Linked DNA regions of Coturnix japonica. The protein of the gene in region 1 interacts with the protein of each later gene in a pairwise test. Links are inferred from orthologs where the notes say so. Each region holds a gene or a part of one and is shown on either strand. Other genes may lie near its edges. The genes, in order: USP20, TRIM23, VAPB and BEND7.

What was found.
Region 2: the proteins of USP20 (region 1) and TRIM23 interact in binary tests that used the Homo sapiens proteins (3 or more experiments, as listed by UniProt). The link is inferred for Coturnix japonica from reciprocal best matches to the Homo sapiens genes USP20 and TRIM23.
Region 3: the proteins of USP20 (region 1) and VAPB interact in binary tests that used the Homo sapiens proteins (3 or more experiments, as listed by UniProt). The two-hybrid records come from large-scale screens. The link is inferred for Coturnix japonica from reciprocal best matches to the Homo sapiens genes USP20 and VAPB.
Region 4: the proteins of USP20 (region 1) and BEND7 interact in binary tests that used the Homo sapiens proteins (3 or more experiments, as listed by UniProt). The two-hybrid records come from large-scale screens. The link is inferred for Coturnix japonica from reciprocal best matches to the Homo sapiens genes USP20 and BEND7.

What each region holds. Positions count from the first base shown.
Region 1 is NC_029532.1:4,317,292-4,324,888, forward strand, and holds the start of USP20 (ubiquitin carboxyl-terminal hydrolase 20), read left to right. Parts: upstream 1-2,953; 5' UTR 2,954-3,081; intron 3,082-3,900; 5' UTR 3,901-3,996; intron 3,997-4,140; 5' UTR 4,141-4,163; coding exon 4,164-4,244; intron 4,245-4,584; coding exon 4,585-4,638; intron 4,639-5,136; coding exon 5,137-5,199; intron 5,200-5,341; coding exon 5,342-5,455; intron 5,456-6,025; coding exon 6,026-6,122; intron 6,123-6,306; coding exon 6,307-6,376; intron 6,377-6,938; coding exon 6,939-7,052; intron 7,053-7,597. Other genes in the region: C17H9orf78 (telomere length and silencing protein 1 homolog), read right to left, coding at 187-384, 805-882, 1,064-1,134, 1,328-1,379, 2,550-2,609, 2,792-2,871.
Region 2 is NC_029547.1:14,368,045-14,374,893, forward strand, and holds the end of TRIM23 (E3 ubiquitin-protein ligase TRIM23), read left to right. Parts: intron 1-1,182; coding exon 1,183-1,307; intron 1,308-1,639; coding exon 1,640-1,819; 3' UTR 1,820-4,770; downstream 4,771-6,849. Other genes in the region: PPWD1 (peptidylprolyl isomerase domain and WD repeat-containing protein 1), read right to left, coding at 5,807-5,950.
Region 3 is NC_029535.1:10,121,488-10,129,027, forward strand, and holds the start of VAPB (vesicle-associated membrane protein-associated protein B/C), read right to left. Parts: upstream 5,113-7,540; 5' UTR 4,988-5,112; coding exon 4,930-4,987; intron 1-4,929. UniProt on the Homo sapiens protein: Endoplasmic reticulum (ER)-anchored protein that mediates the formation of contact sites between the ER and endosomes via interaction with FFAT motif-containing proteins such as STARD3 or WDR44.
Region 4 is NC_029516.1:6,095,779-6,103,410, reverse strand, and holds the start of BEND7 (BEN domain-containing protein 7), read left to right. Parts: upstream 1-3,130; 5' UTR 3,131-3,403; coding exon 3,404-3,464; intron 3,465-6,200; exon of another isoform or gene 6,201-6,286; intron 6,287-7,193; coding exon 7,194-7,277; intron 7,278-7,632.

The DNA.
Region 1 (7,597 bases):
CTGTGTTTAATTTAACATGCAGTGCTAAACACCCCACTAATCCAGACGAAGACTTAATCCCATCACAGAGCCAGAAGGGGGGTTGTAGAATGCAGCCACACCAGTGCTCTGCTGATCAGCAGCTTCCAATCACGATGCTCATCCCTGTAATTCAGGCCTTAACTAACAGATCTGTGAACAACGTACTCAATTCCCAGGTCCACTTCAGGGATGCCACTCAGCATCTGGTTGGACAGCATCTCCTCAGTCTTCTTGGCAGAGGAGACACGGATGTTCTCCGGCAGCTCATACAGAGAGTCCTCAGCGTTCTTCAGCTTCACCTTCTGTTCTTCATTCTCCACAATTCCTTTTCTCTTCTTCAGCTCTGTCTCAATGTATTTCATCCTAAAGAACGATCCACGAGGGAGATGTGGTATTTAGTTCTGTTTTCTGTACCTAATTGCTGAACACAGCTGCACTGCTCTCCCAAAGGCTGAGAGAGAGAAATGAATCCAAAAGCAGTCAGCTAACATCAAGAACATAAAACAAGATATCTGCAGCTCTGATCAAGGTCTCCCAAGCTCTTCCATAACCCATCAAGGAAGGCTGCTGCTGGAATTTAATACCATTGTACTGGCTGGTTGACTGGCATCTCCCAACTCTGTGCATGAAAATGCCTTCTCAAGTCTAGCAGCCAGAAGGTGAAAAAGCAGGTGAGAATCAAGAAGTTGTTCTGAGACATTCAGTATCCAAAATAATACAGATAAACTGAGAGGACACCCAGCCCAGAGTTCAGCATCACAGACAACACGCAGCTCAACTCACATGTCAGCATCCTCATCCCGTCTGTTGGTTTCAGCTGAGAAGGAAGTTCCCAAGTTCAGATCTTCCTCTTCATTAATCCTAAATGAAAACCACACCGTTGCAGTTGTTTTTTGTTGAACTAATTTGACAAGCTAAGGTAGCAGCAGCCAGTGGAAGTGCAATATATTACATTCTTCAAAGCAGTACAATTTTTGGTTAATTTATTGCTAGCTGGGACTTCTAGTCCAGGGAAAGACCTTCAGAGCTCATAAGCACCCACCTGTCCTTGCCTCGTTCTTTCAGTTTCTTCATGTCCACCATCCCCCCAGATTTTATCTTAAATGGGTCATCCTGTAATGCAAGATAAAATACAAAACCCTGAAGCTTCCCTTTAGTTTAAGGCTAGTCTTCCAAATCTGGATAAAAACGGACAAAAAGCATTAGGCTGCGAGAAGCAGAATCCTACAGCCATCAATTGGATCACACCAACGTTTACACATCATTACATCTTAGCAATAAAGTGACAAAAGTATCAAGCACTTACCACAAGTGTCGCTTCTTCTTGCAACTTCTCTCCCACAAGCAGAGCTACAGCACTGGTTAGCCATAAAGAAAGAGACAAAAGGAAGGAAATAGAAGGAAACGTGTTACCAACAATGCTGTCTTTCTTTATCCTTCCCTAGATCAAGCAGCAGGTCTCAAACACTTGTATTAATACTAAGCTGCCATTTTTCCTTGTCCTTCCCTATGGGTAGACGAACTATCAACGTCTTGGGAAGATGAGAAGTTCAGGCAGAGAGATTTTAGTGCTTTACAGTGAATCAGCAAAGGAACAAAGCTGGTTGTTGGCGCCCATTTCAACTACTGCATCAGCTGATCAGTGATGCTATATGAAAGAGAAGGAAATCAGAGAGAAGATATAAAAGGGCCCCCGATAAACCTACTGCTCTGCTACGTGAACCGAACAGAAGCAATCTAACTAAATACATCCCATGACCAATTCCAATCTTAGTCTATTTTTCCATAGTTAGGATACAGCACAGACTCTGCAGGCTGGCAGTGCTTTCCTGCACCTGACTCACCATTCACACCAATGTTTTCCTGCACTCACAGAATCACAGAATGACCCGGGTTGGAAGGGACCTCAAGGATCATGTAGTTCCAACCCCCCTGCCTGGCAGGGCCACCAAACATACACCTTTACTAGATCAGGTTGCCCAGGGCCCCGTCCAACCTGGTCTTGAACACCTCCAAGGACGGGGCATCCACAACCTCCCTGGGCAGCCTGTTCCAGGGCCGAACCACTCTCCTAGTAAAGAACTTCCCCCTAACATCCAACCTAAATCTTCCCTCTTTTAACTTAAAACCATTTCCCCTTGTCCTGCTATTGTCAGCCCTTTCCAAGAGTTTACTCCCCTCCTGGGAGTAAGTTCCCTTCAGGTACTGAAAGGCTGCAATGAGGTCACCCCGCAACCTTCTCTTCTCCAGGCTGAACAAACCCAACTCCCTCAGCCTGTCCTCATAGGGGAGGTGCTCCAGCCCCCTGATCATCTTCCTGTCCCTCCTCTGGACCCTTTCCAAAATCTCCATGTCTTTCTTGTACTGAGGGCTCCACACCTGGACAAACTCACCATTCACACCATCTTCAGGCTTAGACACAAACTCCTCTACTCCCTTTGGCACAGGGAGAACATGGAGCTACTTCTCCATAAAGCAGATGGGTGCTATTACATGACAATACCAGATAGAACCTTCACAGCCCTTACCTCACCCCATTGGGTCTCTTCCTCAGGCTCTGCACTTCTTTGGCTTCCTCGAGCTTTAACCTGCAGAAAGAAACCCAAACCGCTGCCCTCAGTACTCAGTGCCTCTATTTGCTTTAATTCACTTTAATTCCTGCAGTTAAACACCAAATCTACGCTGGTTTTGCACATCAATACCTGAACCACATGGCTCCTGCGTTTCCCTCAGCTGAGGGAGGCACACAGCCCCCATCCCCTGCGCTCACCTGACCTCCTCAGCCAGCTGCTCATCCTCCTCATCCTCCTCGCTCTCCTCCCTCCGCCGTCTGAACGCCCTGGCAGCCATTTTTCACCCCCCTCCCTCCTCTCTCTCTTCTTACGACGCCATATGATGACGTCTATTCTCCGTTCCGACGCCGTACCGCAGCCTGGCAGGCCGCACCGGGCGCTGTGGGCCGCCCCGCCCCGCCCCGGTTCTACCCGGTGCCTGCGGCTCCGTTGGGCCCCAGCACCGCCTCCCATCCAGCCCTACACACCGCAGGGTCGGGCCCAGCAGGTGAGAATGGGACGGGGGGGAACGTTCAGCCTGGGGTGGGTTATCCCCGGTAAAAACGCTGGTCACGGCTTGTCCGGCTCCGTGCTGCCCGTAGGCCCCACCGAGTAACGGGGGATTCGTTGTGTAACGCCGGGTTTGATGAGCGATGCTTGGGAGCCCCGCGGGCTGCAGGCGGTGAGGAATGAGCTGAACGATTCTTGAATGAGCCCCGTTGTTGCTGGGAGCTGAAAGTGACGTTTTTCGGTTTATTTCGCAAAGGAAAAGGCCGGGAGGGACCGGCAGCATCGCGGTGTTGGGCTGGGAACGGGGCTGTGTGATCTAATGCCGTGGGATCTAATACAGGCTCAGGTGGGGGGAGCTGAAGAGGTCCCCGATTTCGTTTAAAAACAAGGGTTTATTTGATTTTTCTGGGTGAGGAAATGGAGAGAGATGGAAGAGCAGACGTGGCACTGATAGGTGGGATTTAGAGCTGGTTGTGCTGATGTGTTTGGAGAAAAAGACTCTATTCTGATGCACTCACAGAGCCTGAAAGTGTCCCACTTTTATGCGTCAGTCACTGTGCTCTTATTGCTTGTCTTCTAAATCCCTGTTACGTGGCAGCCTTTCCCTTCTCTGTGCAGCTCCTGAGCTTTCTCAGTGCTGTTAAGCAGCTCATCCCAGGTGCTGCCTGCAGTCACTGCTGTGTTTGCAGTGCAGGGATGTGATCCCTTCTTCCAGGTCTGCTTTGTTCCTTCAGTCCAGGATGGCTGCACAGACCCTGTTATAAGACTATCTGTGGGGTTTGTAAGCACACAGCTGTGAAATCCTCTGTGCTTTCAGTGCTGGGCTGTGTGAGCGGCGCAGAACAGCTCCATGCATTCATTGAGAGTTGTTCAAAATCCACCTATTGAATGAGCAGTTCCTGAAACACTGAAGGTGGGTTATCAGTTAAAGGTCTTCTAAGCCCAGTTCCCTCTTGTGGAGCTTCATTTAAACAGCAGTCATGGTTTTAATGCCCATAGACACCAGTATGGTGGGCTGCTGACTGTAACCAAACAGAACTGCCTTTTCTTGTCCTAGGAAATCACCTTCCTGCAGTGACAATGGGGGATACGAGAGACATCTGCCCTCACCTGGATTCCATAGGAGAGGTGACCAGAGATGATCTGCTGCTCAAATCCAAGGTACGGGGTGTTCTGGTTACCAACCCCTTCTCTATTTGCTGTACAGAAGAGGCAGAAACTCTTTTTTCCACCCTTGTTGTACCTTGCACGTGGCCCATCAATAAGCCTTTGTCAGTCCCATCTGGTGCATTTCGCACTGACGTTTTATCCTGCTCAAACACGCCACTTATCTAACACACACTGCAAAGCGTGGCATTGGAAGCATGGATTTAAGCAGTGCATTGAGCTGCAGGCGGGGGAGGCCTGTCGCATTGAGAAGTTTCTCACTGCTGAAGGATGGGGTTACTTAAAAGACAGACATGCAAACAAAGCTTATTTTTTTATCATTGTGAATACACAGGGAACTTGCCAGTCATGTGGAGCTGTGGGACCAAACCTCTGGGCTTGTCTTCAGGTAAGAACAGCTTGATGTTCGTGTGCATGACACGGTGGGATTTCTGTTCAGTGTATACAAAGAACTGTATTGGACCAAACAAGAAGGGATGGATGCAAATATGGGTGAACACAATAGAAATATCCGCTGCAAGGGGAAGCTGCAAGAGTGAGAGCTCTGAAGATGGTGTTTGGGGCAGAATGGAGTGACAGAGGGTGTGTGGGTGGGCAGGGGCAGTTTGATTTGACATTGGAGTGCCTGGACATTTAGTCTGGTCAGATGAACCTGTTGGAGCAGTTGTCTTGGAATGAGGACTTACGTGGGTGCAAACTGATTTCAGGTTTTCTCTGTTAAATTAACCAATTCCAGTCATCTGCCTTATTCTAAGCCCTGCAAAGAAAAACAGTTGAGTGGCAAGATCAGTTCTGAAGCTGCAGCTGTAGGTGGGGTTGGGGCTGCAGACTGTTTTGTGAAGGGTTTCATTTGGTGTGCCATTGTAGTTTTGCTTTCTCTCACTAGATCGGGTGTCCTTATGTTGGCTGCGGGGAGTCCTTTTCTGACCATAGCACCCTTCATGCACAGGTAAGCTTTTCATTATGGTCCATCTAAAGACAGAGAGAGCTGAGTTATTCCTGTTACCTAATCCTCTTATGCCTGAATTTAGTCGTTCTGCACTTCAAGTTGTCCCACCATTCAAATCATTACTTCACCTTTTTATTTCTAGGCCAAAAAGCACAACCTGACAGTGAATCTGACCACGTTTCGGGTCTGGTGTTATGCCTGTGAGAAGGAGGTGTTCCTGGACCAGCGGCTGGCGGCGCACACGCAGTCACCCTCGGTAAAGTTGAGTGAAGCAGTGGGTGTGTGTCAGCCTGGCAGGGCTCAATGCTTGGCAGGCTTTTTATTTCCTTGTTGCAAAATTAGCTAAGAAGTTGCTCAGGCTGCTATTGTGGTAGGAACTCTTCCAACTGAAGGTGGCTGCCTGTGGTCAGAGGACCAATAGCTTTGCTTTATAGACTCTCCATGCAGGAAGGCTTCCAACGACTCGAATATCCATTTTGATGTTTTTCTTTAACCTCTCCTGGCTTCTTATATGGGCCATCTGGTTCTGGTAGGAGCCACAACAGCTGTGATATCTTCATTTCAAATAAAAAATCAGCTGTCAGACTTCAAACGTGTCTACTTGTGACACTGCATGTTCCCAGTGCCTCTTCCATTATTAACACTGGAAGCAGTAGTGGTGCCATTTCCATTCTCTATATGCATTACTGAGAAGGGTAGGCAGTACAACTGGTTCTTCTGAGTGTGCCATTTTAAAGGCTGGCTGAGTTTACACCTAAGATACTTCTCGCAGCTCGTCTTTTGAAGGAGGACTCTTGCTGATGGTTATTTTCTGTCTTTAATCTAGGATTCTCCATTGCCTGCTCACCCTCTGAAAGCTGTTCCAATTGCAGTGGCTGATGAAGGTGAATCCGAATCAGAGGACGATGACTTGAAACCAAGAGGTAACTGCATGTAGTTGATGGAAGAGCTGTGAGGGTGACTCTGCAATCTGTAGGACCTGCACTGAGAGGGTCCTAGCAGCAGAGTGCAGAGCCCAGAAAGGGTCACATTATCTTCCCATTGGGAACGAATGTAGAAAGCAGCACTTCTGGAAAGTGTTTCATGCTTCTCTTGTTTGTGCTTTAGGCCTTACTGGAATGAAAAATCTTGGGAACTCCTGCTACATGAATGCAGCACTTCAGGCTCTCTCTAACTGGTAGGCATTAGGGCCTTTAGTAGAGTCTTTTACTACGTATCAGCAGTAGCACCTCTGATCTGACACCTTCCTTAGTCGTGCAAGGATAAACCAGCCAGGCTAGCTGCAGAAAAAGGAATATGAACAATGTAGTATTTAGGAAAACAGAAGTTCTGCAGTAGGAAAATGGGTGAATAGCCAACTCTGTGGCTGTGTGTGAGACTTGTCTCTAGATGAATGCTGGAAGTAAAACTCCACCATGACAGAAGCATGTTTGCCATGTGAGAAAACATGCAATCTTTCTGTTTTCCACAGTGGTATCGTTCTAACAACTCACACTGTAAGATCTTCATTAGCCATTCTGCTGACAGCTGGTTTCAGGATCTCTGTGCTGGGAATTGATTCAGATCAGCCTTCTTTGTTCATTTCTAGGCAGAAATCAAGTCTGCATCTAGAATCGCTTCTCCCCTTGACTTAAAAACAAGCATGCTTTCAAAAAGGGATGCATTTAAGCTTTGATCAGTCTTTCAATAGAGGCAGAGGAGCAATTTCTGTGCTCTGAATCCTTGTTGTTGTCTTGCAGCCCACCTCTCACACAGTTTTTCCTGGAATGTGGTGGCCTGGTCCGTACGGATAAAAAACCAGCACTATGCAAAAGTTACCAGAAGTTGGTGTCTGAGGTTTGGCATAAGAAACGGTGAGTTGTCACACTATTCTCACGTGTATAGATTTTGTATTTACATTAGTTCTGAAATATGTTATCAGCAAAAAGAAATGGTGCCTTCAGGGATAGATGCATTCCCTTATCTGTGATAGAGATCTGACACTGAGCTTATACCAGAAGATGAAAAACACAAGTGACTTGTTGAGAAATGTTTTCTATTGGTTCAAACTATAGACTGGTGTAACACAATGTAAAATAGCTCAGCTCTATTGAAATTTAAAGATATTAGTTGCAGAGAACAGATAAATTGGGGAAAAAATCAAGCCAGGAATCTGAGTGGCAACGTGTGTTTGCTTTGTGTTAGTCACTAATAAGGGATAAGCAAGATGCAGAGCAGCTCTGTGTGTTTATGCAGCAGGCTGAAGCACTATTACATCAATTTCATATTGGTTTTGACTTGCTTCAGTACTGGTTGGTCCCTCACCAGCCCACCTGTCAAACATGCTGCTGCAAAATCAAACCACGTAACCCACTGCCAAACCCTGCTCTGGGGAGAATCACTTGAGACAGTTCCAGGT
Region 2 (6,849 bases), on another chromosome or scaffold:
AGGCAAGGTGCAGTGTTCCAAAGTTTGCATAGTGAGAAATTGTGCTTGCCAGATACAGACTTTAAATAGCACTAAAAATGAAAATGCTTGGTCTTTAGGAGCATCTAGTTTCTCTTGCAAGAGCTGAACATTAACACAATGCATGTGTATTATTAGATTGGATTTTAATATATATAGCATCTTTAGGAGCATCAGTTTTTTAAAGTAAACTTTAAAAAATTCTACAGTTTTATAACTTCTTCCTTGGTATCATGGGCTTCAGATTATAGATTTCAGAATTAAGCAGTTTATTAGTAAACCTCATTATAAGTATTGCTGACTTGGAAATTAATGTTATCCTTCTGTAAGTGCTCAACAATTATTTTCCAATTTAGAAACGGGTTTCTCTTCACAAATTTGCTGGAAATTGCCTGAAATACTTAGGAGTGACAAGCATTGATTTTTAAGTGTTTTGTTGTGTGTATTACTTAGCTTTTATTACCAACTTCAGCGCTTTCAATCCCCTCATCTTTACAGACTTGGAGACATTTAACTCTGGGTTTCTGTTGTCCTGTTGGTGCATATCTGCAGTAGGTTTTGTTTGATTTTGGATGTTTTATGTATTTATTTTATTAAAATAGAACAAGCTTAAATTCTGTCCTTTAGCTCTGCCTCTGAACTCTCCAGTTTTCAGGCACTGTCATTACCCTCTGATGTACTGTAAAACTTTCTGCTGATGTGTTGGGTCTAAGGAGATCATCTCTATTATGTGTAGTCCATAGCTCAGGAAAGCAGTACTCATTTGACTTTAGAGTTTTTATTGCTAACTAGGGCAGATTGAAACACTTTTGTGGGAGTCAGTTGAAATGAATCAAAAATAGTTTGAATGGAGATGCTCAATCCTCACAACTTAAATCAGGTTTTAAACCAAAACAGTTAAAACGTCAGACTTTGTTAGACTAGACTAAAAACTGCAGAGTTTTTCTTTGTTTTAAGATGAATTGCAGATTTTTTTTTATGACGTATATTGGCATATATTGTATTTCTCAGTCTTCCTGGTCTTGAAAGTGAAGTTGTTTGCTGCTGAGAGATTTGGCATAGAGGACTTCTAGGGAAAAAAAAAAAAAAAGTTGTAGGTTTCAGCTGACTTTTTGCATACATTTGTATACAAAGTGTAATGTTTGTTTTATTTCTCTTTTATAGCAGTGGTGTTTGTTGTTGATAGTAGTCACAGAGACAGAGTCAGTGAAGCACACAGTGAACTTGCAAAGTTATTAACAGAGAAGGAGTTGCGGGATGCCTTGCTCTTGATCTTTGCTAATAAACAGGTACTTGTGATTTTTATTTATTTTTTCACTCTTCAGTTTATGAAATTCAAACTTTCTGAATCCTTTTCTGTAGAAAGGGAATGCTTATGTGAGAAGGAAAAAATGTACGTGTTCTCCTTATGTTTAATTTTTGGAAAATAAACGATACTGGTGTACTTACTAGATTCAATAGGCAGTTTTTGTTTTCTTATACTTTATAGAAAACTTGTAACTGTTCGACTTTCATGTCTGGAAAGCTTTCATGTGATCCATAACCTCAGTCTGAGCCATCAGTGAAAAGTCCTTCAAACATAGCTCAGAAGAGTAATTGAGTCTGTCTGGTTCTGTTGCAGGACGTAGCAGGTGCACTTTCAGCGGAAGAAATTACAGAACTGTTGAGTCTCCACAAACTCTGCTGTGGCCGTAACTGGTATATCCAGGGCTGTGATGCTCGAAGTGGTACAGGACTTTTTGAAGGACTAGACTGGCTGTCAAGGCAGTTAGTGGCTGCTGGTGTCCTGGATGTGGCTTAATTTCAGAACAGATGTTTGTAGGTTACTGTTTTGTTTTGTTTGCATGATTTAGGATTTTGTAACCAAGTCTGCTGTCTGAAGAGGGGACAGCTCTGCGGTTACAGAAAAATGTAAGAGTTCATGCAAGATTGGATAATTGTTTCAGTAAGCTTGTGCAGTTAGTCTTTTTGAAACTTGGTATGTGTACAAGTAGTTAAATGGGCTAGTTAAATGAGTGCCTTGAAATTCTTTTTGGTGGAATTAGCTTGTTAAGATTTTAAATTCTTATGAAATACGTTATAATTTATGTAATAACCATAACAAGGTTACGGTAGTTAGTTGATGTCAGAAAAATTCTGAGTGATTCAGAAATGCTTTCCCAAGAAACTACTCCAAAATTCATAGCAAGCTATTAGAATAGCCAGCTCTGGTTGTGAGCCAGAAACAGATGATGCTTCTCTTAGAACTAAGAAAGGCATTCATCTGAAGCTTGTGTTGAAAATTACACACAGGTATAATGCTAATGGTAAATGTGTCCTGCATTATTTATTAGCTTCCTTGTTGCTTATTGTAAGGAAGCACAACAGGGCAGAGAAAACTGAGAGTGGGGAACAGTGTCGTAGAACGATGCAGCCAGGTGGCATTGTTTAGCTGGCTATTTCCAAGGGGATTTTTTTTAGTGCTTTTTTGTAAGTCTACACATTATAAATTATTTATGGATAGAACAAAGTGATATTACATTGAAAATGTATTGTCAATGCTTGAGGATGTAATCTGCCTTCAGAGATTAATTTTATTCCTCAAGAAGTCAAGTGAAGTTTAGAAAAAAAATGACAAAACTCACACCTTTTTAAAGAAGTGTGGTGTAATATCGGTCCATCTGTGTCCTCTTATGTAGAAGTCAAGCCTCCAGAATAAGGTAGTGGCCTTTACTTACTAGGTAGTGTGATGTAAAAAGTGTTCACTAATTACAGCCTTTACAAGATCAGATGGCAAAATATGATGGAAAATTTCTGTATTTAGATGAATTCTTACTCCGTGTTCCACATTCAGCTGTGTCTTCATTTTCAGCAGTCAGTCCTTCATAAGCTCATGAAATGCAGGTGTGACACTTTAAATTTAGAGAAGGTTGTGATCATTAAGAGGCATCTTCCTTATCTGCAACACATACAATTCAGATAACAGTTTTTTTTCTGACTGATATCCATTGAAGAATCTCCTGACCTCCTCTTCTAATACGCAGTCACTGCTGGTTGAAGAAACCAGCACATGACTCTCTTCATCTCAGTAGGAGAGATAGAAAGAACAAAGCCAATAGATCAAAACAGGATAGTGTCACTTCTCTTGCTGCAATTGAGGTGAATAGGAGGAACCAGGTGGTAGAAGTGATCAGCCTTGTTTCACAGATAGGTAGGAGGAATTTTCTGTCGTAGTAAAAAACACACTGACCAGTGAACCTCACCCGGTAGAGAAAATATATTTCACAATCTATGACTATGGCTTTCTTGATATTATAGCAGCTTAATGATCTTTTCCCACTACGTACCTTAGGTAAAAACCAAGAATGTATAAATAAATAATAAAGTATGCTTGCACTTTTCTTTGAGAGGAAGCAGTTAAAGCAGCTACTTCCACATAATGACATTTGTTCTTAGTTTTCTCATTTCTTGTATCTCATGTAAATAACATGAATTGTAGCTTCAGATTAAGCAGGTCAAATGACTTGGAATGGTAGCTGAAAGAACACTAAGCTTTAAAATAGTAGAAATTTCTTAAAAGGGCTTCAGTGCCTGTATAGGTACTGAGAAGGGGTAATAACTCTTCCTGCAGATAACCTTATAAATCTAGAAATAGTTTACAATGGGCGGAAGGATGCTTTTCCAGCACCAAGCTGAAAATGGTTCTCCTTTGCAGCCTGTAAGTTCTTGCACGGTATGCTGCTGGCTGCTCTCGACTTCGGCATCTGCTCAGCCTGCAGAGCAGTTTCAGGTCTAGTTAGTGCTGACTGTCCCTTCATAGCTCTTATTCAAGTACGAACAAGTTCTGCTAAGTGTGGTAGGTACCTTTCTCTGGAATACGGGGAAGACATCTGTTATTTAGAAAAACTTGAACCTGTACTTTTGTTATAGTGGGCATATGCCGGTTTTACATTCCCCTTGAACTGTGATTCTAAATCACTGCTTTAAGATGTTCAAAGTTTGTGAGTTGTGTTCTTATTTGTTGTTTTGGTTTTTTTAAGTGTATATTTGAGGGCACAGGAAAAGTACTTGTACATCTTTTTGAGCACAAAAGATTGCTTGCTTGTGATGTGTGGAATACTACCATAAAGTGTTTTTTAGTGGAATTTATTTAAGATGACTTCAAGTAACTGTGAAGGTATTGCATTTGTCTGTGAACTCTTGAGTGTAAACTGGTGCACTAAGAGGTTTGTCTGTATTATAAGTTAATAAATACTATATATAAACTGCTTCTGTTACAAATTTAAGCTTGTTTCACCAGTTCTCTAGAACTTGAGTTTCAGTGTACTGACTTGCGCAATGGAGGATTCCCTCAACTAGAACTTACTCAAGCATTTCTATGAGGATTATTTGAAAAGACTGATTAACACTTTGTGGGGATATTGAGTTATTTGTGAAATTAAGCGAATGCAACATCCAGTGACAATGTTGTGGCTTTCTTTAAAGACTCTTGGCTCAGTAACAGTGTGCTTAGGATAACTGGAAAAACTGTGGTTTGTCCCATCACATGACGTGGTGATACCGTATGCATCTTCAAACTTATTGTGCTTTGTGTGGTACGTGAGGGTTTCCTTCTGAGACAGTTTAATTTCTGAACTGTTGGATGTTACCTAATGACTTTTGAAGAGAAAGGGCTCTGTTAATGGAAATAATTAATGAGCTGCTGCAGACTGAGTTGCCCAGAAAAAAAAGTAGTGATATTTTTTTTCAATAAAGTTATCTAAAACTTCTGGAGATCTAGTTTTCTTTTAATAATAGGAGTGCACTAGAAAGACAACAGATTTATTAGGTAACATTTCATATACTGTGAAATTCTCATCTAATTCCTCAGAATACCCTTCTGTGCCAGTTTCCCTCCCTGGGATAGCAGTTTCCAAAGGCTCTGAATTTGATTAGCGTGCATTACATCACTGTTAATTGTTTAAAAAACAAACAACCAAAACCTATCACAGTCATAAGCTCCTGAATCTTGTGGTCTTAGGTGGACATCAACAGTCAAAAATAACACTACAGTATCTTAGAGTACAGGATTGTATTTAGCCACAGGTTCACAACAGCTGGATGTGAGTAACCATGTCAGTTAAGTATTTTAATAAAAGTTGTAGTGTTTGTCTGATTTGGGGGTAAAAATCAAGCCAGCAACAGCATGCCTGGGCTAAAATAATGAGAAATGAAACATTAAAAAAACACAAGAAAATCATACTGGCAATGCCAGTACTTGTGCAGGACTTAATACACTGTTACTGCGTGATTTGATCCCTTGTTCATTTAGTCTAATGGACAGGGACACGTACACAACTGTCTTGGAAGATAAGGTAAATTACATATGTGATCCTAGCACAGCCTGATCACATTCTGATTACATTATCTTACAGTCTGATTTTTGATAATTTGATAATTTTTGATGTGTGTGTATACTGTTGAAGAGCTTATGACTAGCCATCTGACCTCTATCTGACAGAAATAAAGGTACAGACTGTACTCAGATCATGTTCTAAAGCTGTTATCATGAACCATGGTGTGTGTTTGAATCTTCAGTCTTGCACAGAAGAGACAAAGAAGAACAGTAGACTTTGTAAGAAAGAGGCCAATGTTTTTATTTTAAAAAGGAAAATTTACCAAGAAATACAGGCTTAGGGCACTTTAGGTACATGAAAAATAGTTTCTACATCCAGGAATCATCAAAAAAGTTTTTATTCCTTCTGTGTTCTTTCCTGGGTCCCACAGCGACGACATTCTTCTGTTTAAGCTGGAACCTTCACCACCTGACTTACTTCACTGTGATGTTAATGATGCTGATATCCTCATAGGGTTTATCAGTTTTGGGGTTGACTTTAACATTAGAGATTCTCTGAACAACTTCCATTCCTTTAGTCACCCGTCCAAACACGCTGTGTTTGTTGTCTAGCCAAGGCTGTTTGAAGATACAGCAGAAGACAGAAAAAGCAGATTAAAATAGAAAGCAGCATGTAGGTTAGATACCAAATGAGTGACCTAGAGTAAGTGAGAATGAGTATATATTGAACACTACTGATTTTACACTTCTGTAAGTAACTGTAAAACAGCTGTTAGAACAAGCAACTGTTAGCAGTGCAGCTAATCATACTGACTTATCTTTTAAATTACCTTCCCAAACTGCTACAGACATCAAGTTCTAGTAATGAGCAACATTTTATTGTTTAAATTCATTTCACTGAAATGCACATTTACTTCATGGTAGTTTCACAACTGAATTTAAGTGCTAGACTAGAATACTACCTAATTTAAAGTCATACAAAATGCCTAATTAGCAACTGGAATATAGACAATGACGTGATTTAATGACCTTCAAAATTAAGGTAGACGGGAACTTCCTAAGAAGGCACATGACTGAGGAACAAAATTTCACTCAGTGCTGTGTTAAGGTATTAATTTTGCACATTAGACTGCCCAATTTATTTATGTATTGCTGTGTAGTTGTATACACATCAAAATATTAGCAGGGACATTTTCTAATTTGCTTACTGGCTTTACTGTATAGGAGTCAGCAGCTTTAAGCAGTCGTGCTGGTACTAATCCAAACACCTTAGAATGATCTTAACAATAGGTAGATTTATGTTAAGTTTAAGCAGGACATGAAAATATCCTACTAATACAAAACTGGTTTTACTAAGAATTAGATTAGGTTCTTGCTCCAGTTAAAGTTCACAGGTCTGAACACAACGATCACAGCACTTTCCTGTTTCTTAGATAACTGTTTTGGTGAAGTCTACGCACAGTTCATCTTTGTGTGCAGTGTTGAGTTGCAAAGTAACCAGATAAGTTACTGCATTT
Region 3 (7,540 bases), on another chromosome or scaffold:
ACTGCCCCTTACAACAACAGCAAAGAGCCGACCATATTAAAAATGCAAAACTCCGCCAACCTAGGAGAAGTATACTCCAAATATGAATTGTTCATGCTGACTCCATCACCACATAAGGATCTTCCTAGAAATAGTAATATTTTGCTCCCATTATTGCTCATTACTTCAACTGCAGTTCTTAGAATCAGCGCGGTACAAAACAATTCAGAAGACCTTAACCCGTACAACACACCAGCTGAAGCCTTCAAGTTGACTGTGAGAAATCAAAGCAGTCTTAGAAGACCTAAATACATTAATTAAATCTAATGGAAAACGTGGCTAAACTTCATCAGCTCCACACATCTCAAGCCACTGTTACTTGGGTCTCTCACCAAAAGCTCTTCATATTTTAAGGCTCAAATTTTTCTAGCCCACTCTTGTGCAGCTCCTCACCCTGTCCCTGTGGACTTGACAGTGTCCTGCATCCATGCACAGGGCACCAGGCAGCTAAAGCAGCACAAAGCAGCCCTGCCTCAACTTACTCCACCTTTCCAAAAATGAGCTGCACCATCAGTCAGGCACCACGTGTCCCCTCCTGCCTTTACCCTCAGCTCCTTCCCTCCAAGCACTGCTCTTTTAAAGTGAAGAGTCTGTAGAAAGTGATGAAGTAATTATAAAATTAACGCATATGAAATCAGAATAATACAGGGAGATGCAAGCCTGTCCAACTATAATGAATGCTTAATAGTTAGAATAAGCTACTAATTTTGCCAAAGTTGCAGTAATAGCTCGCATAACATGAACTGCAAATATTTAAACGTGACTAGAAAATGAGCAATGAAACATAGATTCACACAGATTTATGAGGGCTGTTACTGAAATACTGTGTTCTCTTTTTAAGTGTAAAACTTGGTAATTAAATTCAAATATGCAGAAGGATGTGAGGGCTTACTCCTATTTGATCTAACAGCAATTTTATTAGAAATAGGGCAGAGAAGAGGGCAGCAGGTTTTCCAGCAGAAGAGCAGCCATTGGCACAGCCTCGGAGAGCAAGGAAACCCAAGCACTGACTGCCATTACACTGCCAACACCAGAAGGGCTCTAACAGTTAAAAGGAAACACCACATAAATTCTCAGCTTAAAAGATGCATATTAATTACACTAAAGAGGCAACTTCTCACAACACTGTCAGCATTTCGCAGCCATAAACAAAGCCTGTTCCGGTGGCAGCGATGAGAAATCCCTATTTATCCAACACAGGATGAGCACAGTCAGATCCCCGCGCACACAGGCTGCAGCAGGGCGGCAGAGGAGCTGCCAACTGCAGTGTCTATGAAGTGCTGAGCCTCTCCTTGAGACCGCTGTAACATAAGCACATCAGGCCAACCACCCCCATGCACTGCTGGGCTGAGCAGCCTCAGCTCTGTACCTGCATTCAAGGCCAGGCTGGATGTGGCTCTGGGTAACCTGGTCTGGTGGTTGGCGACCCTGCACATAGCAGGTGGGTTGAAACTAGATGATCACTGTGGTCCTTTTCAACCCGGGCCATTCTATGATTCCACAATCTGTCCCACAGGAGGTCTGCACACCCGCTCTGCCATGCACAGACCTGGCTACAGCGTACAGATGCACATGGAGCTCCAACTCTCCTGCAGTACAGCAGCCACTGGTCTGTGCCATGCAGGCTGCAACCAGCACTGCAGGAAGGCCCCAGGGCCCAGCACAGCCCTCCCTGGAGGGGAAGCAGCATCACCAGGCCTGCAGCTTCATGGGGAGCTCTGCCCGTCCTGCTCTATTGTTGTGGCCTTTTCCGCACAGTCACACAGAGATGTATCGCACGCATGCAGGTGGAAAAATCACACGCTGGAAACGGGAAACAGCATTTCCAACAGGCAATAATTTATGCTGGCAAGCAAGGGATAATTTATCCTGGCAGTACTGCTACTTGCCACTTGGGGAGCAATGCAACAGTGAGTGCTGAGTCATTAGTCCCGGCTCACCTGGAGCGAAGCCCCCTGTGTGTGCAGGGAGCAACCTCAGGGGTGAGAGCCCTCTGCCAACCTCCATCATGACACTGAGCTGCAGAGAACGCAGCATTCAAGCAGCTAAAGATCCAGGCATGTTGTAAAATGAGTTATAATCTAACAGTATTGTACTTGCTGGAATTAAATCTCCTCCAGGTGGGCCCATGCCGCCAGAGGATGGATGTGCTTCACCAGGAACAAGGCAGCGTCATACAGCAGAGACATGGCACTGCAAGGAGCGGTTTTATCAATGTGCTTCACAGAAGGCACCAGAGCTGCACAGCCCTACCTGAGCTTGCAGGCAGTACCTTCAGCCAGGCCCCTGACCACTGCAATCTAACTTACCATCCTCAAGCAGGTCATTGGATGCTCTTTAGTCCTAGATTAACAGAAAAGGAAACGTACATATGGAACAAATATGGTCCTTTTCATCGCTCATTACCACTAAAGCCTGAACAACAGCCTCGTGCTTTTCTCACCCAGGCTGCAGAACTGTGCTGACCAACCAGAGGAAGTCAGAGCTACCAGCATCAAAGAGCACAGCGAGGAGCAGAGCCCCAGTACCAGGAGGGGCACATCCTGCAGCCTGTCACTGTGCTACAGCACACGGCCGTGCTATTTTGGAGCACACGTGTGATGGTGTAGGAGGAGGAGGTGGGGAGGAAAGACAACCCCTGTTCATGTTCACATGCTACAAAAAAAGCGTTCTGGCACAAATATCTCCTCTGCAAAAAGACACAAAGGCGGTGTTGTGAAAGAGAGCTCCAAGCACGCTTAGAGGAATTGCTGCAAATGAAGGGCTACAGAAGACTCCTAATAAACATCTTCAAATCCTTTAATTGCAAGCGCTGGCTGACAGAGACTGCTGCAGTCCTGCATTGGGACACATAGAACAAACCTTCACTTTGGGATCTTATTCCTACATCCTACTGTCAATGTCACACCTCCCTCTTCAGCTTAAGATTCAAGAATCATGCTGTAACAACAGAGCTGCTAACAGTCTGCTTTATCCATCCCACTGCATTATGACCAAGGCTGCTCCCCACTCCTGGTGCTGTGGTACCCAGCCTATGGTCTCACCTCACCAACACCGCTGCCCTGAGTTTTCCATGCACGGCAGCACCGCCGCCGTCTGTCATGCATCAACTCGCTCCATGCAGAGCGATGCTCTGCAAATAAACACCGCTATTTACAAAGGTGAGAAAATCACAGCTGCCACAGTGCCAGGCAATATGCCATCGCAAACTGCACGACGGGGACTGCTTAGGGCAGACGTTACTTGGTGAAAGCTTCAAACGGGGCCTTCCTGAATGAAGGGCAGCGGTCAGCACTCCTGTCAGGAAGGACTGTAGGGCAGAATTTATGGCCCAGGCAGATGAAGGCTATCCGCAGCATTAAGCCTATCTGAACATTAATATTTAAGCACGCATTAAAACTAAGCCATTTGCTACTTGCAGCTAGTCAAGCTGTGTTTTACATTACAAGGAATATATGTTGCTGGCCGAAGGTTGGACACAGAAAAGCTCCGTGGCTGGTGGATTTAACACCAGTGGCTCCTGATGGCAGACCCAGCAGCACTACCCCAATAAGCAGCCAGCCTGATTCTGTACCTGCCTGTAAAGCACAGCCTCAAACCACAGCCACAATCTCACCACTGGTCAGCACCAACTCAGGACACACGTTTTGCCCACCCGAGTTTGGATCTTTCTTCTGGTTGGAAGTAACGTTACTTGCATCCAGAACAAGATGAAAATCAGCCCTTAGCATAAACAATATTGGAACAACAGTTTACTTCTTAAGCATGTTTGATTCTGCTGCCATAACAACATGCAAACACTACAGCTTACCACAAGGACACGTTCATTCCAGACAGCATTTATTACCAGGCTTTTTTGATAAGCCCACTCTGCACTATTAGTCCTGATGTGTTTATTGCTAAAACCGGGTAGAGGCTTCCCCTAAGTGTAAAGCATTACACGAAAGCCTTGCAGATAATGAGCAGTTTAACCCGGCGCCAGCAAATAAATCACTATTTTTAAATAAAGGCTCGTGGCCAGGTATTCGTATGAAGCCGTGAGTACCTCTGACTCCGGGAGCATAAATAAACTTGCCGAATGCTTCCTGGTAATCCCCGAGCGTTGTATTACAGCAGCACTATCTGTCAGGTTACAACCTTGGCATTTCAATGCCAGCAGTAACTCAACCCCATTCAAAACCTTTATTTAACAAAAAACCCCGAGTTCTGCGCAGTCAGACGGCGCACAGTGCACACACCTCATGGGGTGTTACGAGGCGCTGAGCACAAAGCACACAGCCGTGTTTCCCGCATGGAGCGGCCCCAGCCCCGCACTGACAGCTCCGCGTCCCGCAGCGCCTCGGGGCCGGATCTCAGCGGGCAGCGGCTCCGCGCTACGTCAGCCGCCCAACCTTCCCGTCCCACCACACCTCCGCGCAGGCCGAGGCCCCTCCCGACGCCCGCGGTTCCCTTCTCCCCCGCCTTCCCGCTCCTTCGAGGCCCGGCCCGGGGCCTCGCCCTGCGGGGAAGGTCAGCACGGGGGAAGAGCGAGCGGGGCCGTGATGCCGTGAGCCGGGAACAGCCGGGAGCCGGGACCTGCGGGCGGCGGCCGCCTGCCCCCACCCCGCGCTGTCCCCATCGGGCCGGGCCACGCAGCACCGCCCGCAGCGCGGGGTGGGTGCGGGGGCACAGAGAGGCCCGTGGCGGCGGGGATCCCGAGCTGGGAGCCGCCTCTTCTCTTCCCCCGGCCCCGCCCGGGGATGCGGTTGAGGCCGCGGCGATGAAGGACATTTTCGCGGCGTCGCCCAGCCCCGGCCCCCGGAAAATGGCTGCCGCCGAGCGGGGCCTGAGAGCGGCCGATCCGCGGGGCCGGAGCGGGGCAGCGGCGTAGGACGGGCGGATCCGCGTTACCTTTGAATTTGAGCTCGTGCTGCGGTTCCAGGCTGAGGACCTGCTCCGCTTTCGCCATGTTCCTCCTCCTCCTCCTCGGCGGTGGCGGCACCAGGCGGAGAGAGGAAGGGCCGGGGAGGGAGGGAGGGAGGGGAAGGAAGGAAGGAAGGAAGGAAAGGGGGGAGGGAGGAAAGGAGGGCGGGCAGGGCGGTGCGCTCACCCCCCCGCAGCGGTGAAGGGAGCGGCGCTGCGGGCGGCGGAGCGGAGCCGGGCCGGGCTGGTCGAGGACGGCGGGCAGCGAGCACCGGGCTGGGCTGGGAACGAGGGAGGAGGAGGCGGGGCGGAGCGGGGCGGGGATGGCGCAGCGCGGAGCGGGGACGGGCTGCGGATGGAGCGTGAACCGCCGCGGGGATGGGGGCGGCTCCCGCTGCGCTGGGGCGGGCGGAGGGGACGGAGGGGAGCAGGGATGGGAGCTGGGTGCAGCCGGACGGGGTGAGGGCAGGGCAGGAATAACCCACGCGGTTCAGTTATCATGGAGGTGCTGGTGCCGCTTTAGCACCCGGTTCTGTTCGGACCCCCGGGCGTGGCAATGTCCGAGCAGCGCTGCGGGGCCGCCAGTGACTCAGCTGCTCCCGAGCGCTCCTCCACGATAAGGGAAAGAACAACGACGGGCCGAGCAGCGCCCGACCCGCAGCGTCAGAGAGCGGCTGTGCACGCAATGAGAGCCGAAGGGAACGAGGGCGTGAGTGCAGGGCAGGAGCGGAACGGGACTGGGAAACTGGCATCAAGCGCTAGGAAACGCTACCTTGGTCATGAATAAAAGCATCATTAAAGTCAGCGCAGTGGGTTTAAGGCTCTCCAAGAGTAAACGCTAGAAAACACTCTATAAAATAACTTAAATGTACAGGTTGGTCTGAAATGAAATACTGCTTTATTGGTGGCCTCAGGCCAGGGCAGTACAGCAGCTTACGTCCTCCAGACCCACTCCTCTTCAACATTCCAGAAGTTCATAAGAATCCATAATCTGTTTCTGTAACACACCAGACGGAGCAGGACCACGGCTTTAAGGTCCTAAAACCTGATTGCTTCAATACAAGTTAATGGTTTCCTAATTGTTTGCCAAAAAAAAAAAGACAAAAAATGGTTAAAAAGAACTGGAATAAAAGGGCCGTCGGCACTGCTGGCAATGCAAATGACTGATGGACACGTTAAAATTAACACCACTAAATGGGACGATGACATTCAGTGCTGTAAGGAAGCCTGCACAGTATGTCTGCAGTATTTATACCACATCAACACTTCAGCTGCTCTTGTCCATGAGAATCCTTGTTTTTCACCCAGTGTCACCTACAAACACGTTTCATCCTTTGTGGTTGTTGCAACTACTTTCATTCCACACCAAAATAACCCCCCGTATGTATTTAGTACAACTTCATTTTACATCATGCAAATGAAACTTGGTAACACTTTCTAGCCAATAAATACGGCAGGAGTTGTTAGGTAGCAACATGCTTAAATATCCATAACTGCTGCTCTACCATAACTTCCTTCTCTGTGTTGGAGAAAAAGTGGTCACAACATCACATATGTGAGTTGGTTAGGGGTTTTTTTTATATATCTGTGCTATTCTACTTTATTAGATTTGGAGCCCAGGACGTCCTTATTATTTTTGTTATTTTGAGGAGTCTAATTTATACTATAAACTACAGATTATGTCATAAGATTTTATTAGACCTCAAATTAAGAAGTGATTCAGTTCACTCACATTTTGGAGTAGAGTTTTTTCTTGGCTGATATTCTGGAAACATGATCCTCTTCCATGTCATCTCTTTGATTGTTTTACTTTTATAAACAGATTCTCTCCCTGCGCTATAAAACACAGCTGTCCATAAACATCCCAAGTAATTGGTAGAAAGAGATAAGCTTTATATATATATATATGCAAGTTAATTGGAACGTAATGAGAAATAAGACAGAGGAAACCTTATACAACGTACAGTCATACGTAATAAAAGTCCCCAAAGCAAACAACAGCTCAGCATTGCTGCCTGCACCCTTCCACGTTCTGCTTTTTCTGACAATATAAAGTACAGCCTTCAGTGTTGGATGCTAAAGGCTACGCCAGGCTGGAGCACCTTATAAGAGCAGATTGCACTGAGCAGCTCTGAACTTACCTGCTTGGATAGCGAGGACTCCCCTGTGTTCATCCATGCTGAAACACATATAGAACACAGCAGGTTTTTTATGCAAAGTGGACAACTTAGCAAGTCTAATGAAAGTAGTTTTCTGGTTGTATGTAAATGTGCACACAGTCAGTATCGTTCAGACCAGAGTAACTGAAATGGATCCGTGTCACAAAATCACCTGCAATGCCGCACCGTTGTCAGTTAACAAAACAACCTTCATCTCATTAACAGATCAGCCACTCCAAGGCTGGAAGGCACACGTTGCCAACATGCATTTCTGATTAACAGAAGGGGCAGATTGGGATGAATGCCACTGGGGAACTCTGAAAGGCACTAAGGAAGCTTTGGACAGCAGCGGTTTTAAAGAACACTTCTCTTTTACTTTAAATTCTATGGAAGTCTCTATCCACATTAAATGAAAACCAGGATACAGGTATTTCAGGTGA
Region 4 (7,632 bases), on another chromosome or scaffold:
TCTCTTCAGAGAGCAGTACAGTTCTCCTCTGGTCTAGGATTCTTCAGTCAGTTTTGTCCTATGCAATCTCACTTTAAGAGTAATAGTCAAAGCGTTGTAACTGCACACACCTGTGCTGCAGATGAGGCTGGAATCAAAGGAATAGTTTAGGGCATCCTGATGTAAAGGATCGCTGTTGTTGTTAATACTGAAATATGACTGAATAATTATATTTGATTGGTTATTGATCTACACGTAAAATAAATTAGTAACTACGCAAAGCAGCTGATTGTCAGTACAACTAGTATCAGTCAGAATGAGGAGGGGCTATTTTGAAAGTAACAATAAAATAGTAACTAGGAAATTGCCAGGGATAATCAGGACGACTTGAAGTATGTTGCAAGACAAAGCCTTTATTTAGTTAGCTAATTTCACGGCATTTTGAAATACACATTACTCAATGGCTGATCTGATTGAGGAAACACTTTGTGACTATTCTTATGTATATGTAAAAGTGTGCTGAATTTCCCATATTTTCACCAGGAAAAACAAAGAAAATGAACTATGGTTTCTTAATATGTAATGATAATAATCCAATATCGAGACATTAAATGAAATAAAAGATGAACCCATCAGCTGACTGAACTGCTCTTTCTGGATCCAGTACGCTTTATCGTAAGTCACTTGGCTTCCACAGAGCTGGAACTACACAAAGCATCAAGGAATTAAGGCAACTTTCATCCCTGTGTTTCTCCAGCTACAATAATGGTAGAATCAACTAGATCAGGTTGCTCAGAGCCCCATCCAGTGTGATCTCGAATGTTCCCAGGGATGGAGCATCCACCATCTCTCTGGGCAACCTGTGCCAATACTTCACCATAAAAAGCTATATTGGAACGGTGGCCCATGGCAACTCAGTCTAGTTGTAGGTTACCAGCCCCAAAACACCCCCAAAAGAGGCTTGCAACTTACTGCAGATGGACACTACAGTAGCCTTTGAGTCCTTGAGGTATTTTATTTTATTACTTCATGGCTGAGCAACATTAGCAGTATAGGATGGAACAATTGTTTTGCAGTTATTGGATCCTCCTACACATTCTGTCGATAACTAGAAGGCTTTGACCTATAGTCACCTTGTCCTAGTTTCTAATTTGCTTTTATGCAAATGTGATTGCGGGATCACAGCCTTGGTATCCAATCTGGCTAAGACTTTCCTAAATGAAAACCACAAGATGGTAGCACATTCCAATGGCAAACACAGGAGAAGGCCCATCATGTGAGCTGAGCAGTAAACGAAGGCCTTATGTCCCATAAAACTCCTATTGTCCCAGTACAGATGAGAGTCAAATGCTTTAAGCCTGGTAAATAGAGTTAGCAGTTAGCAGACAGGAATCAGCAGACTGGGGGAGAAAAGAAAAAGAACAACAACTCTTTTTGTACACAAAATTCAGGCGCGGTGCTTCTTGATCTCTGATCTGACTTCACTGCGCCCGCCCAGAGATTAATTGGACCCACATCATTTAGGAAACAGCGTCTGACATCCAACTACCTTTGCTGCTTCAGCATTCACCCAAAAATATGCAATGCAGGATTTTAAATAGTACGTTAGCCCAGTTTCCTCTCACAAAGTCTTACAGAGAAGTTTAGGAAAATTCCAAAAGTAGCATATTGATTGCCTCTGGGATTTTCCACTTAGCAATTTAATAGAAAATTACACCCTTACCCAATCTGCAAGGTTTCCATAACCTCCCTCATGAATTTAATTTTCCAGAGTCTAATAAATTTTTACCATTAGGCATATTTTCTGATATTGCTTCACCATTAAGCCCATTTGCCTTTTTGGAACTGTGGATACTCTCTCCATGTGATGCTTGGACTGCACCTTCCACAGGTGAGTTCAGGTCTGTGTCTGTAAGCAGCACTACGATACAAATAATGTTATTAATTATCATTATTGTTAATATTAACTACTGTTAACATTCACATTCGTTTTCCTCTGAGCAATTTTCTAACCCTTAAGCGATGGGGTCAGTCAATACAACTGGAGCCAATAGAATTCTCCTGGGTACTCTCATTAGACCAAGAGATCGGCTTCTGCTCAAGTGTGACCATGTAGCTATCTATCACTTACTCCTCTCCTTGTCATGACACAGCCTGACTACATGTAAAACACAAGATGAAGACTGGGAGCTGTGTTTTGGTTAACGGTGTCTGGGTACTCTGTAGGCACGCTATGCTGTAAAAGCTAAAACTGCACCAGAAATGCACTTAGTGTAACGTAAGGGAAATAAGCGAGCCAGGAGTGTGGCTGGAAGCATCAGCTGGTGGATAAAGCATTAAGTTCAGCTGCGTCTGGATCATCCATATGGCTGTGGTGACCTGCTGGGTGGCACTCCTACAGAAGACTGGGACTCTTTACTATGGGATATCACGTTTAACTACTGAATGTGAAGCCTGGCTTAGAAGACAGCACTCTGCAAACAGGCACATGGTTGTGATGAGCTCGTGGGCTCCAGCCCAGCCTTGCTGCTGGGGTATTTGAACTAGATTTTGCACAGTTATGGAGCAACAACTTCAATACCACAGAGCTCACCACCACAGAGCTCAGCCCGGGCCCGGCTGGGATCGCCTCCTATCACCCCCAAAGTTCCCCTCCGGCCCTGAGCGAGCCTTGGGCCCTGGGCAGGCCCTCGGGGAGCCCCGAGGCTGCACAGGCCGCACCGAGGGCCGCCGCTCCGTCGCAGCCGGGGCCCCGAGCCCTGAGGGAGCGGCGTGGCTCGTAGGAAGCGGCGGCGGCAGAGGGAGCCAGCAGGCGGCTGAGTGCAGGGGTGTGCAGGGGCGGGCGGGAGGCGGGATGGGGGGGGGACACAAAATGGCGCTGCCCTCTCAGCCCCTCTCCCTCCGGTCACACTCCGGCCTCGGGGCCAGGCCGCCCGCGGGGCCAACAGCCTCCCCGGCCTGGCGTGAGGCGGCGGGCGGGCCGGCTGTGAGGAGGGCGGGCGGCGGCCTGCGGAAACAAGCCGGGGCCCGCTCGGTGGGGCTCGCCGCCTTTCCCCAGCAGGTGGCAGCGGGGTCCCGGTGCCGGCAGAGCCATTGCGGGCCGCGCACCCGGCGGGGGAGGCGGCGGCGCCGCTGGCCGGCATCGCCCCGGGCTCCCCCCCGCCGCCTCACCCCGCTTCCCCCTCAAAGTTTGGGGCGGCCTGGGAGGGCGGGCGGCGCCGCGGGGAGGCGGGGGGGACGGAACGAACTTGTCCCGTATCCTTTTATTTGCAGTTGAAGCCGAAAGCTCCCGGGGCCGCGTTTATTTTTGCTGATTAAAAAGACGGACCTTGGTCCTGCGGCTCCCCGCCGCGCGGCCGCCCTCCTCGCTCCCCTTTTTCCTCCCTCCTTTCTTCCTCCTCCCTCCCTCCCGCCCGCCCGCACCATGGAGTTTACGGAGAGGAAGAGAAGCAGGAAATCCCAAAGCTTTAAACTGATCAACGAAGGTAAAGTGGCGGCGGGGAGGGGGGGAGGCTTTGTGCCGTTGGTCTGTTTGTTTGTGCCTGAAGAGGACTTTTGCATAAACGGGGCCGGGTTTGGGATCGGGGTGTTATGAAATGTGCGTGCTCCTTTCCCTCCAGCTCGGCTGTGTCTCTCCCTCCTCGTATTTATTATTTAACTCTGGAATCAACTCTCCCAAGCGTTGCAGCTCTTCTTTATTTCATCGTGTTTTTTTTAACCTCCCTCCTCTCTCCCTTGTAAAATATATATATGTGTGTGTGTTCTGCGTTCCTCAAAATGAAGAAAATAACAAGAAGGAAAAAGCCACCCCCAAAAGGTGGACGTGTTTTGTTTCTTTCCAGGGTGATCTCCTACCGAATAAAGTTGGATCGCGTTTCATTGCAAATCCTCCTTTGGGAGGGGGGTGGGGGGGGGGGTTGGAGGGAAGGAAAGGTGAAATGGAGAATTAGGCGAAATAATGACACTTGGGCAGCACCGAAGCTCTTTAGTATTCAACTCCTGTGGGTTGTTGTGTGTGTGTTTTCCTCCTCTACGCACGTATTTCAAAGCGAAGCCCCACCGAGGTGTCTTTATTAAAATCCACGCTGCTAATTAATCGTCCGTGGGTGAGGAGGAATTGCTGGCATGTAACTTGTTCGCTTGGTGCCTGTTTGCTTTTTGAAAGGGGGGGGGAAATAAATAAAAGAAGACTGTTTTAAAAGGGATCCTTGGGGAAAATGTTTGGGATTCATGTCGGGAAATGAAACGCAGCTCTTTGATTCAGTCCTCTGTGAGCTTGCTTTCAAAGCTACAGCTGCTGGAAGTCATTTTAACAGGTGGACTCGCAGCCCCAGGCTTGGTGTTGGCCGGGTATGTCGAGCTGCTCCAGCTGATTGTCTCTTTTGTCCTCATTGATTTGGTGGGAGAATTCTTATTTTTCCTCTCTCTATGTATCTTTTTGCCCCCCCCTTCCCCTCTCGTGTCTTGAAGTCTTGAGCTGAAATATTTGCCAGCAATGCTGTGTGTGTCGTGCATGCCAAGTTCAGGGCAGGTGACTGCTTTGGGATAATACAGCGCTTAGGGGTGAGTGTGTGTGTGTGTGGGGGGGTGACTTTTGGTACTCGCTGAATGGGGGAGGTGAGGTCTTTAAATGAGTGTGGCAGAATCAGATGAGAAGCAGAGAAACGTGAAGGTGGAAACGAGCTCGCTTGAAATAACTGCTTTAACTCTAGTAGGGTTTGGAGCATTGCACATGCTGCTGCTCAAAATAGAAGGACAATGACTGGTCAGACTTGTCTGAAATTCATTGGAGGTTTTGTAAACATCAGCAGAGCCACCGGAGGGGGTTCATTTCTATCAGGAATAGGTTTGCTTTGTGAGCTTTCTTAGCATCAGATGTTCCGAGGCAGTTTGTGCAGGGCTGGAAAGTGAAACGTGCAGCCGAACAAAACTGAAATTGAAGCCTCGGTTTTTATTTCTCTCCTCAAAGTGCTGCAAAAAGAAGGTGTGCTCTATGGCAAATGTATTAATATTGTGCAGATTCTCAGTCCTAACAGGATTAAACATTCCTCAGTGCGTAAGGTGATCTGTTTAACTTGGTTTGAATTGGATAAATTCATTTATGGTGGTTAATTATTAGCGGTTCTTACTTTACCTGGGGTCTGCTTTTGGGTGTAGGGATTCAAATAGAAAGGCATGCTGAAAGAAAAACGCATCCTGGAGGACTGCGTTCACACTTGGAGGGTGGGGGGCATAAGCATCACGTTTTGTATGTGAGTCTGTTCTCACGTAGCCTCTTTCTATCACAGTTGATTATGAAGCTAATTATGGATAAATAGTTGTCTCTTGTAATTGGCCTTTGCCTCTTGCTGGAGTCGCTCAGTAATGTCACAGTTTAGTGTTTACTGTTGTGAAATTGATATGGATTTCACAGCGCCTGGACTGTGACACGAGGCATGAGAAGGAAACCAAAGAGAAAATGGGATGCTGGATCAGTCTGTAATGCAATCTGTTAATAACCCTGCCATCTAAGGTGCTCAGTCTGTCCCCAGAAGCTTCAGAGCACCCTATCAGTGTGGTGAGCAGATTGAGAGGGAGTGCACCTCTGGGGTGCAGAGCAGTGACTTCCAGGCTGCAGCTGTAGGGCAGAAACGGATGGTGCCCAGCTGGATGCACAGAGAGAAGTGGAGGAGAAACCACGTGTAAACTGTATGTCTGAGGTATGCAGATCTGTAAGTCATCTAATTCCGAGTTCCTATGTGCACTCTCTAGCAGAACTTGCAAAGAAGGAAATGTAAAGAAAAGCTAATGGGCTCTGAGTGCAGTCTGCATAAATTCTATACTTACAGCATTTACTTCCTCAATACTGCAGCTTGTATTTCACCTTTACCCCATACACGTCAGGCAGCCCATATACTTTTCTCCCACTTCATGGTTCAGAAAACCCCAACGCTACTTACTTGATTAACACCTCACTGCTGACTTCAGTATGTTCTTTTCACCCCCCCCCACCCCCAAAACTTGCTGACATTTCTTTCCTTTGTGGTGCTGCGTTATGCTTGATTCTGGTTTACTTACTGGGTTGTTCCTCCTCTTGAGCCATCATGACAGTCACACTGTACAAATAAACAGCGTGTAACAAAAAGAATGTTTGACTTGTTGGAGACCTTTAGAATTCTGAAGCTGATTGTTAGGTCAGAAAGGCAGGTGTGTTCCTCTTCAGAGGAGGAGCTGCTGCTGCTGCCCTTCCTTTCTCTCGTGCCTTTTAATTGAGTCCTTCAAAATGCTCTTCCAGGAGTTAATCCCTACCTGGCTTTCTGTGAGGCAGGTAAACGTAAGAACTGGTTTTCAGGGGACTAACAGAGTGTTGGGAGGGCTTCAGCTCTCCAGGAGCTTGGTGATGAGGCAGCTATTTCAAGACGCTGCATATATTGTTCAGCCTTGAGTGACTTGCCTAAGGACAAAGTGCGTGCCGGTAGCAGTGTCAGAAATAGAATCCAAGAGTTGCCCTTAGATGGTGGGTTTTTTTCCATGTAATTACAATTCTTTCTGTACACATGTGTAAACAAAGCTGTTTTTACTGCACACGTGCTGGTGATTAAAATAGAGACCCTCACAGCAAAATATTATTTCATTTGAAATACAGTTAATTTCGTGTCTATCCTGTAACACAGATTAGAATATAAGATGCTAATATATATCGTTATGCCTGTCGTAGGCGTTAGTTTCTATAAGTAAATATCCTTAAGCCTCCTTTCCTCAGAACTCAGAGGCTGTTAACATCGAGGTATGGCTGTAAGATGTGCCTGTGATGCATCTTGCTGATTTTCTCATTGAGATGAAGTTTGGAAGTTCGCTTGGCTTCTAGGAAGGTGGAGTTTTCGCCGTGGATCTGCTTTCTGTCTGTAAAGCAAGAAGCCAGATAATTGGCATCTGGTGGGATAATTTGCTGTGAAAATGAACACAGTAATTTAGGACAGGCGCAGCTATTCCCTGAAATCTGTGAAATATTTTATCTGAGCTCTCCAGTGCGAACAAAGTTATTTTGATTTTATTATTATTTTTTTTTCTAGGAGGTGCTGATACAGAGCACATTTTCTGTGGTTAATTTGATGTACGCAAGATAAACTGTAGATATATTGATAAATTATGCAGTAAAACTGTAGCAATGTGTTCAGTGTTCATTTTTTCCAGATCACTTGAGTTCTAATTTTTTTTATCGTTTTTCATTCCAGATTACCATCATGAGATATATAAGATCTCTGACTACGGCAATGATGTTAATGGGGAGACCAAAGAAACAGAACCCATTTCTTTAGGTATGTGCTTGTGTTGATTAATTTCAGAGCAACGTAGTGTAGCCATTTGCAATTAGGGAGGAAAAAAATCTCTGTGCAAGCACTGGAAGCGCCTGCCATTGTTTAATATGACGTTCTTTTCAAGACCCTTTTATTCTACGAATTGCCAATATATCCTTTATTAACGCTGCTAAAAGTTGTAATTTCAGACGTAAATGTTTATTAGTGTCTACACACAGTGCTAATTATCACTCAGTCAGAGAGCCAGATGCTGACTCTGCAGTTTTGCAGCTCTGTGCTCACCCCATTTACATTGCATATTTGCTGGCATGCTTCACTGGCAATAGTTTGTGTAATTGGGGTATTACATCTTTGA